Neurospora crassa OR74A: one gene and its partner. The protein of the gene in region 1 purifies or fractionates together with the protein of each later gene. This does not show direct contact. Links are inferred from orthologs where the notes say so. Each region holds a gene or a part of one and is shown in the gene's direction. Other genes may lie near its edges.

Evidence for each region.
Region 2: the proteins of NCU01612 (region 1) and NCU03702 purify together in Saccharomyces cerevisiae (affinity purification with mass spectrometry, with the first as the bait; 5 studies listed by BioGRID). This does not show direct contact. The link is inferred for Neurospora crassa OR74A from reciprocal best matches to the Saccharomyces cerevisiae genes PRP43 and NOP1.

The regions. Positions count from the first base shown.
Region 1 is NC_026502.1:2,956,894-2,961,029, forward strand, and holds the start of NCU01612 (pre-mRNA splicing factor ATP-dependent RNA helicase PRP43), read left to right. Parts: upstream 1-1,298; 5' UTR 1,299-1,522; coding exon 1,523-3,721; intron 3,722-3,787; coding exon 3,788-3,913; 3' UTR 3,914-4,136. Other genes in the region: pp-2 (protein arginine N-methyltransferase HSL7), read right to left, coding at 1-291, 375-509. UniProt on the Saccharomyces cerevisiae protein: Pre-mRNA processing factor involved in disassembly of spliceosomes after the release of mature mRNA.
Region 2 is NC_026505.1:2,139,432-2,143,481, reverse strand, and holds NCU03702 (rRNA methyltransferase NOP1), read left to right. Parts: upstream 1-1,235; 5' UTR 1,236-1,522; coding exon 1,523-1,637; intron 1,638-1,873; coding exon 1,874-1,934; intron 1,935-1,996; coding exon 1,997-2,231; intron 2,232-2,292; coding exon 2,293-2,618; intron 2,619-2,676; coding exon 2,677-2,843; intron 2,844-2,904; coding exon 2,905-2,972; 3' UTR 2,973-3,788; downstream 3,789-4,050. Other genes in the region: NCU03703 (60S ribosomal protein L17), read right to left, coding at 1-95, 188-375, 578-791, 980-982.

The DNA.
Region 1 (4,136 bases):
GTTCAGCACCTGACGGGAGATGTCTGAGATGATGGGATCGGCAGAGCAGAGGTCGATCCATGGGCTGGCATAGGCGATGAGCGAGCCAACATAGCTGCTGGGAAACAGGGATGTATCGTCGTCAGTCAAGGTAGGAACCGTAGGAAGTGGCAGCGACGGGTTGGCCTTTTGGGCGTCAGTGAGTCCCCGTTCGGTGACCCACTGTTCCCGTTCTTGGAGATGGCTCTTGTACAAGTCGATCACGCGCTGGTGAAAGTGCTCGTTGGTGATGGGGGTGGTGACAAAGTTGAACTATTCTCATCTCATGTGTGTTAGAATTTATGCTGTTGCTCGTTCTTCTTTCTCTTCCTACTTTAATGTAAGGAAAGACTTACACCACTGTCCAAGATCTGGCCGTACTGATTGTCAGTGGGCGACTCATGTCGTTGGACATCATGCTGGCCAATGTAAAAGGGCGGCCGTTGCTCGAAAGACTCGGACTCGGGGTTAAACCCGCGATTTGAAGACATGATGAGTGAGTGACTGGACTTTTATGTGAATCCGAGTGAGTGAAAGAGAGTGGACGAGACTAGAAGTAAATAACCCCGCGATGGTCCAGGTTAGGTTTGAGGTGGTACGAACAGCAGCGGGAGGGGTACGGAGAAGGTAGCTATACTAGTCTCTGGGGCCTGTATACAGTAGAAGAATGTATAGGCTGTACTTTGATGAGGTATCGGACCCAATCACAGGGAAAATTGTAAAGACTGAAATCAAAGTTGGATGGTACTTTTTTTTTATTTTTCCCAAAACGGACTGACCCCATGGCAGTGGATATTTCCAGGGAAGAAGCACCAGAGGAAAAAGTCCAACCTCAACGGTCACCAACTCGAAATAAACAGGTATGGAGGGGTATAGATGGATAGGTACATGGAAAATGAAATAGCTGAGTGAAAGAAAGATTGCACACAAACCCAATGCGCCAAAAGTCACAATGTCACAATGTCACAATGTCACAAACTTCATCAACCTGCCTGCATTTTGCCTCTTTTTTTCTTTCTTTTTTTTTTCTTCTTCACGTGCAGCAGGAACAAACTGAGTGAACCTGACAGTTACAGAACAGTGTAGAAAATTACCGTCTTAGTGCCCATCAGGGTCCTGTCCAATGCTACAGTGATTTGCTTATCAGCGCTTGCCAAAGACACTCCTTACTCCACTGAAGCTTATCACTGTGACCCCTCATTGGTCGAGAGTCGCTGCGGCCAGGAACTGCCGGCCAGGTCTGACCTATCGCCCTGACATCAAACAAAAAAAAAGTTGTAGCCTCGCATGCCTGCCCACTGCCCTCCCCTCCACTCTGTTTCGCTGTTGTTCATCACTGCCACTGGAGGTGCCATAATCGACACTCCGCCTTCTGTTTTGCCTATCGCCGCTTCTCTTCTTCCCCTTCAGTTCGGTCTTCTTGTTTTGTTTCCTAGTACCCACCCCTCTCGCTCGAAGAAACAAGATATAAAAAAAAGGCCAGCTGCCCTCGGTCGGTACCACAATGGCCAGCCACGACGACAAAGGCGTCAAGAGATCCAACATGGACGGCAACGACCAGGACTCAAAGCGCATCAAGCGTGCCGAGAATGGCGATGCTGCCCCCGAAAAGTACAACCCCTACCTCGCCCATCTCAACGAGGACGGCAACGGCAACGGCACCAATGGCGACTTCGAATCGCCCCTCGACGCCTTCGAGAGGCACAAGACCACCGCCGCCCAGGCCGCCCAGGCCGAGGACTCGGAGCTCAACCCGTGGACCGGCCAGCCGCACTCGCAGAGATACTTCGACATCCTCAAAGTGAGGCGCGACCTCCCCGTCCACAAGCAGCGCCAGGAGTTCCTCGACATGTACCACAACACCCAGATCCTCGTCTTCGTCGGTGAGACGGGTTCCGGAAAGACCACCCAGATCCCCCAATACGTCCTCTACGACGAGCTCCCCCACACGAACGGCAAGCTCATCGCCTGTACCCAGCCCCGAAGGGTGGCGGCCATGTCGGTTGCCCAGCGTGTCGCGAACGAGTTGGATGTCGAACTGGGCCAGGAAGTCGGTTACAGCATTCGTTTCGAGAACCGGACCGGCCCCAAGACCATGCTCAAGTACATGACGGATGGTCAGCTCCTGCGCGAGTCCATGCACGACCACGACATGTCCCGCTACAGCTGCATCATTCTCGATGAAGCCCACGAACGTACCCTCGCGACCGATATCCTCATGGCCCTGCTCAAGCAGATCGCCGCCCGCAGGTCAGACCTCAAGATCATTGTCATGTCTGCCACGCTCGATGCCCAAAAGTTCCAGTCCTACTTCTACAACGCCCCATTGCTCGCCGTCCCCGGTCGTACCCATCCCGTCGAGATCTTCTATACCCCCGAGCCCGAGCGTGACTACCTCGAGGCCGCCGTACGGACCGTCCTCCAGATCCACGCCACTGAACCCGAGGGAGACATCTTGCTGTTCCTTACTGGTGAGGAGGAGATTGAGGATGCTTGCCGAAGAATCAGCTTGGAGGTGGACGACATGATTCGCGAGTCGGATGCTGGCCCCATGAAGGTTTACCCTCTTTACGGCACTCTCCCTCCTGCGCACCAACAGCGCATTTTCGAAAAGGCCCCCGAGCCCCTGCGCAAGGGTGGCAGGCCTGGTCGCAAGGTCATTGTCTCGACCAATATTGCCGAGACGTCCTTGACAATCGATGGTATCGTCTACGTCGTCGACCCCGGTTTCAGCAAGCAAAAGATTTACAACCCCCGCTCTCGTGTTGAGTCTTTGTTGGTTTCTCCTATCTCGAAGGCCTCTGCTCAGCAAAGAGCTGGTCGTGCTGGTCGTACACGGCCCGGTAAATGCTTCCGTCTTTACACCGAGAAGGCTTTCAAGAAGGAACTTATTGAGCAAACCTATCCTGAAATTCTCCGATCCAACCTGGCCAACACTGTTCTGGAGTTGAAGAAGCTTGGTGTTGAGGATTTGGTACACTTTGATCTCATGGACCCTCCTGCGCCCGAGACCATGATGCGCGCCCTGGAGGAGCTTAACTACCTCGCCTGCTTAGATGACGATGGTGAGCTTACGCGTCTCGGTGGTTTGGCTTCCGAGTTCCCGCTTGACCCCGCCCTCGCCGTCATGCTTATTTCGTCGCCCGAGTTCTACTGCTCCAACGAGATCCTTTCCATTGTGTCCCTCCTCTCCGTCCCTTCGATATGGGTACGCCCCAACAACGCGCGTAAGCGGGCCGACGAGATGAAGATGCAGTTCGCCCACCCCGACGGCGACCACCTGACGCTGCTGAACGCCTACCACGCCTTCAAGGGTGCCGAGACCAATGGCGACGACATGAAGCGCTGGTGCCACGAGCACTTCCTCTCATACCGTCACCTGTCGAGCGCCGATAACGTCCGGGCTCAGCTCAAGCGTATTATGGAGACGCACGACATTAGCCTGGTCAGCACGCCGTTCCAGGACAAGAACTACTACACCAACATCCGCCGCGCGCTCCTGGCTGGCTTCTTCATGCAGGTGGCCATGCGCGAGAGCAGCAACAGCAAGGTGTACAAGACGGTCAAGGACGACCAGCTCGTCATGATCCACCCGAGTACGTCGGTGACGAGCCCATACGACTGGGTCGTCTATAACGAGTTCGTTCTCACAACCAAGCAGTACGTCAGGACAGTGACCAACATTCGTCCTGAGTGGCTTCTTGTACGTATTCCCCTTTTATGAATTCCCTTTGTCAATGGCATCTTGAAACTGACCTATGTAAACCAGGAAATTGCCCCCGTCTACTACGACCTCGATACCTTTGAGAAGGGCGAGATAAAGTCGGCGCTCACTCGTATCACCGACAAGGTCAAGCGGAGGCAAGCCATCAAGGGCAGCGGCAGCGCGCGTTAGTGGCGTTGTAGAGACAGGAAGAGAAAGAACAAGTCTTCTTCCGCTGCTGCTGTGGTAGCTGATGGTAGTGGTCGTTGTGAAGAGACCAAGGATACCGAGAAAGAGAAGCCGAGTCGCCCGCCGCTCGTACACGTTACGGAGAACATCGCCCGCACCGGTGCGACCTCTTCCGCCGGGAACAGCAATGAGAAGCAGGAGAAGGAGAACTTGAAGATAAAGAAGA
Region 2 (4,050 bases), on another chromosome or scaffold:
TCCTCGCGGACAACGGCCTCGGACTTCTGGACGACCTCATCGGCCTCAGTGAGGATGAGCTCGATGTGGCAGGGGTTGGACATGTAGGGGTTGATCTAAAACATAACTGTTAGCCAATGACCGGCTTGATCGTCTATCTGCCGGCGCAGAAGCAGAAATCAGGGGGGTATCTCCGGGTTTGACGTACGCGACCGTGAGCGCGGTAAGTGCGGCGGCGCTGCTTGGGGGCCTGGTTGACCTGGATGTGCTTGACAACGAGGTTGCCAGTGTCAAGACCCTTGGCATCGGCGTTGGCCTCAGCGTTCTTGAGGAGACCGAGAAGGAACTCGGCGGACTTGGCGGGCCAGCGGGCGCGGGAAACACCGAACTGCTTGCCTATATGACGAAGAAACGGTCAGCACCGTGTCTTCTATGTCCTCCATTCGATTGCGGTTTCGTGTCGGTCGGTCGCGGTTCCATCATGCTGACAATGCCCCCCTATTCCCCCGCCACTTTGTCCTCCCCACTGTCGTCGTCGTCGTCGCATGATGTACCGGTTCGGGTGTGTTTGTGCATGTAAATATCGAGTAAGTCGTACCTTGGGCGGCGCGGCCGGTGCCACCAGCGTAGCGTCTCATGGGGACAGCCTCCTTCTTCTCAAGAACGTTCTCGAGGAACTTCTGAGCACGCTGGAGCTTCCAGCCATTGATGGCCTGGGCGGTCTCACGGGTGTTCTTGAAGGAGACACGGAGGTAAGAGCCGCGCGAGCGGGCGGACTTAGCCGGGGCAATCTCAGTCGCAGCGTACCGAACCTGCGATTTTGAACAAGACTCGGTCAGCGATTCCCTCTCCTCCAAGTGCTCGCAATGCTCGCAAAGCCGTCATTGTCGTCCGTTGAGACTTTCGTCGTCATTTCGGCTGCAGAAGCCCGAAAACTGTCCTGAAGCAAAATAACGGCGGCGATTCTCTCGTTCGGCGGATTTCGCAGGGATTTACTCACCATCTTGCCTGCTTGTCGATGAGAGGACGGGGAATCGACCAAGTGTGATGTTCAGAGGTGGTGATGGGTTCCAATTTTGGCGTACAAAAACCGATTTTCGCGATTAGGGCTCTGTGGGCACTGCGCAGGTGGCTCGTGCGGACCGTCACTTTGCCTGAGGCACGTGCACGCGGGGACAGTAAGTGCTAGCGCCGATAACAGCCTGCCTCCTGGACTGCCGGCCGTGCACGATAGCATCCGCAACAAACTGGAGAGCCTCGACCGCCACGCCAGGACGACAGCCAATTGCAAAGGCAGAAGGCCTCGACCGGAAAAAAAAGTGCTCCAGCGATGAGACTTCGTGCCCCGCTTTTTTTTCTTTCAATCCATGTCCAGGAAATTTTGCACCCAGCTCCAGCAAAAGCTCTTTTCCGAGTCCTCGACAGCGCCGCGCGACAACTCTAAACCCATTGTGCCTCGCACGACTGATCTTACAACGCGTTTCGGCCCAGAATCGCAACTCATACCGACTCCGACTTATCAATACCGACACATTCTATAAAAATGGGCTTCGAGCGTGGTGGCAGAGGCGGCGCCCGTGGCGGTGGTCGTGGTGGATTCGGTGGTGATCGTGGTGGCAGAGGCGGCGCCCGTGGCGGTAGCCGTGGTGGCTTCGGTGGTGAGTTTGGCCTCAATGCCATCGCCTGAATGGTCTTTGCGGTTATGTCGTTGCTTCTGTTCGTCATCTTGAGAGATGTCTCTGCGTCTGCTGCGGCCCGTGGTCGCCATGCATGCCTCTTGACTTCTCGTAGTAGGATGGCGATTTCAGTCGAACTTCATATCGCAACTCGACTCAACATGCGATGGCAACAGCAACCACATTAACGCAACACTTTACTGACAATGACTTAACAGGCGGCCGTGGTGGTGGTGCTCCCCGTGGTCGTGGCGGTCCTCGCGGTGGTGGCCGTGGCGGGTACGTCTTGTGTTCAAAACCCTTGATTACTCCAAAGACATTGACTGACATTATGAGTATAGTGCTACCCGTGGTCGCGGTGGTGCCCGCGGTGGCGCCAAGGGTGGTGCTGCTGGCAAGAAGGTCATCGTCGAGCCTCACCGTCACAAGGGCGTCTTCGTCGCTCGTGGTGGTAAGGAGGATCTCCTCGCTACCGTCAACCTTGTCCCTGGCGAGTCCGTCTATGGCGAGAAGAGAATCTCTGTCGAGAACGCCTCTAAGGAGGAAGGTGGTGCTTCCACCAAGACTGAGTACCGCGTACGTTTTCCAGGCTTTCCAGCTTGTGGCCTCAGACAAAGACTAACATTGGACTTTGCAGATTTGGAACCCTTTCCGTTCGAAGCTTGCTGCCGGTATCCTCGGTGGTCTTGAAACCATCTATATGAAGCCTGGTTCCAAGGTCCTCTACCTCGGTGCTGCCTCCGGTACCTCGGTCTCTCACGTTGCCGATATCGTCGGTCCTACTGGTTCCGTTTACGCCGTCGAGTTCTCTCACCGTTCCGGCCGTGACCTCATCAACATGGCTACTCGCCGCACCAACGTCATCCCCATCGTTGAGGATGCCCGTAAGCCCATGGCTTACCGCATGCTGCTCCCCATGGTCGATGTCATCTTCGCCGATGTTGCCCAGCCCGATCAGGCCAGGTAAGCCGACTTATACAGATCCTTGACACTGTATGTGCCTGACACTAACACATTTCAGAATTGTCGGCATCAACGCCAAGCTCTTCTTGAAGCAGGGTGGTGGTCTTCTCATCTCTATCAAGGCTTCTTGCATTGACTCCACTGCTCCTCCCGAGCAGGTCTTCGCCTCTGAGGTCCAGAAGCTCCGTGAGGACAAGTTTTTCCCCAAGGAGCAGTTGACTCTTGGTACGTCCATCCGCTTCCCTTTTGGTTGATAGAGCCAACAATAACTAACAATCACCCACAGAGCCTTACGAGCGTGACCACGCCATGGTTTCTTGCGTCTACCAGCAGAAGGAGTTCGTCGATAACTGAGTTTCGAATTAGTACTGTTCTATCTTCGTTGCTCTGTTCTGGAACCTTCACATAATTCGGTGTTCTACTGGCAGGATGGTTTTGTAAATCTGGAACGGCGAATGGCGTTTGGGTATCTGCCTTGTTTTAGCATTGTGGGAATAAAGCACCAGGGTTCTTAGACTGATATCCGGAGTGACCCCGGTTGCTTCCATCTTACGCCGCCTTTCACGATCTCGTCACGACTCCTAAGTCACCGCGCAACGAACCTCCTGTTCACCAGCGAAATTGGCCAGCCTACAACACATCAAGAACGATCACCAGTCAATCACCCTAAGAACGAGAAGGGCGCTGGATAGTCAAGCAGAGGTTGCTTTTATCGGCGCTTAAAATGCTCGACAGCTTGGTTCGTCTTTATGGCGTTTGAAATCTGCGAACTGAGAGTCCCTCCCCTTTCATCAGGGTATCACGTCGAAAACTGAGACTATTCTGGCCATTCGAGTTTCAAAGGAGATTGTTTGGGCCTGGGGACGCAAGGGTACTGCAAGCCAGTCATTACATGGCTTTGAGGATTATTTAAACATGCCTAGAGTCTATCCAGGATCAAGAGGATGCTGGGCCGTTGGTTTCGCTTGTTGATGAGCAAATTTGAGCTTGCTTAGTCCTATAGATTTACATATCAGAGTTTTGGGTCATCTTTGCTCCTTATCATCGGCCTTGTCGGCGGTCTTGTTACTTCTTGAGCTTATTGTTTGTTGCTTTATTCGATGCTGGATATGCTCTGATCTATGATTTGCATGCTATCTAGCTCTTCGATATCTCACCCCATTGCCTCTACACCTTCCCCGTACTAAGCGCTCTTGCACCGCTGAAAATCTTATCTTCTTGGCTCGTTTGCTTGCGGCGTTGATCAGAGCTGACAAAGTAACTCAGGCGACAACATATCCCGGGACGAGACGCGCAGCGTTAATGGAGAGTACGGACAGTGTAAGTGTGATCCGTTACCGGGTACTAAGCCAAAGTACCTCTACAACTTGTGGCCCAAGCCAGGCTAAAGGATATATAATTACTATGGTCCCGGGGATATCTTGGTCGACGA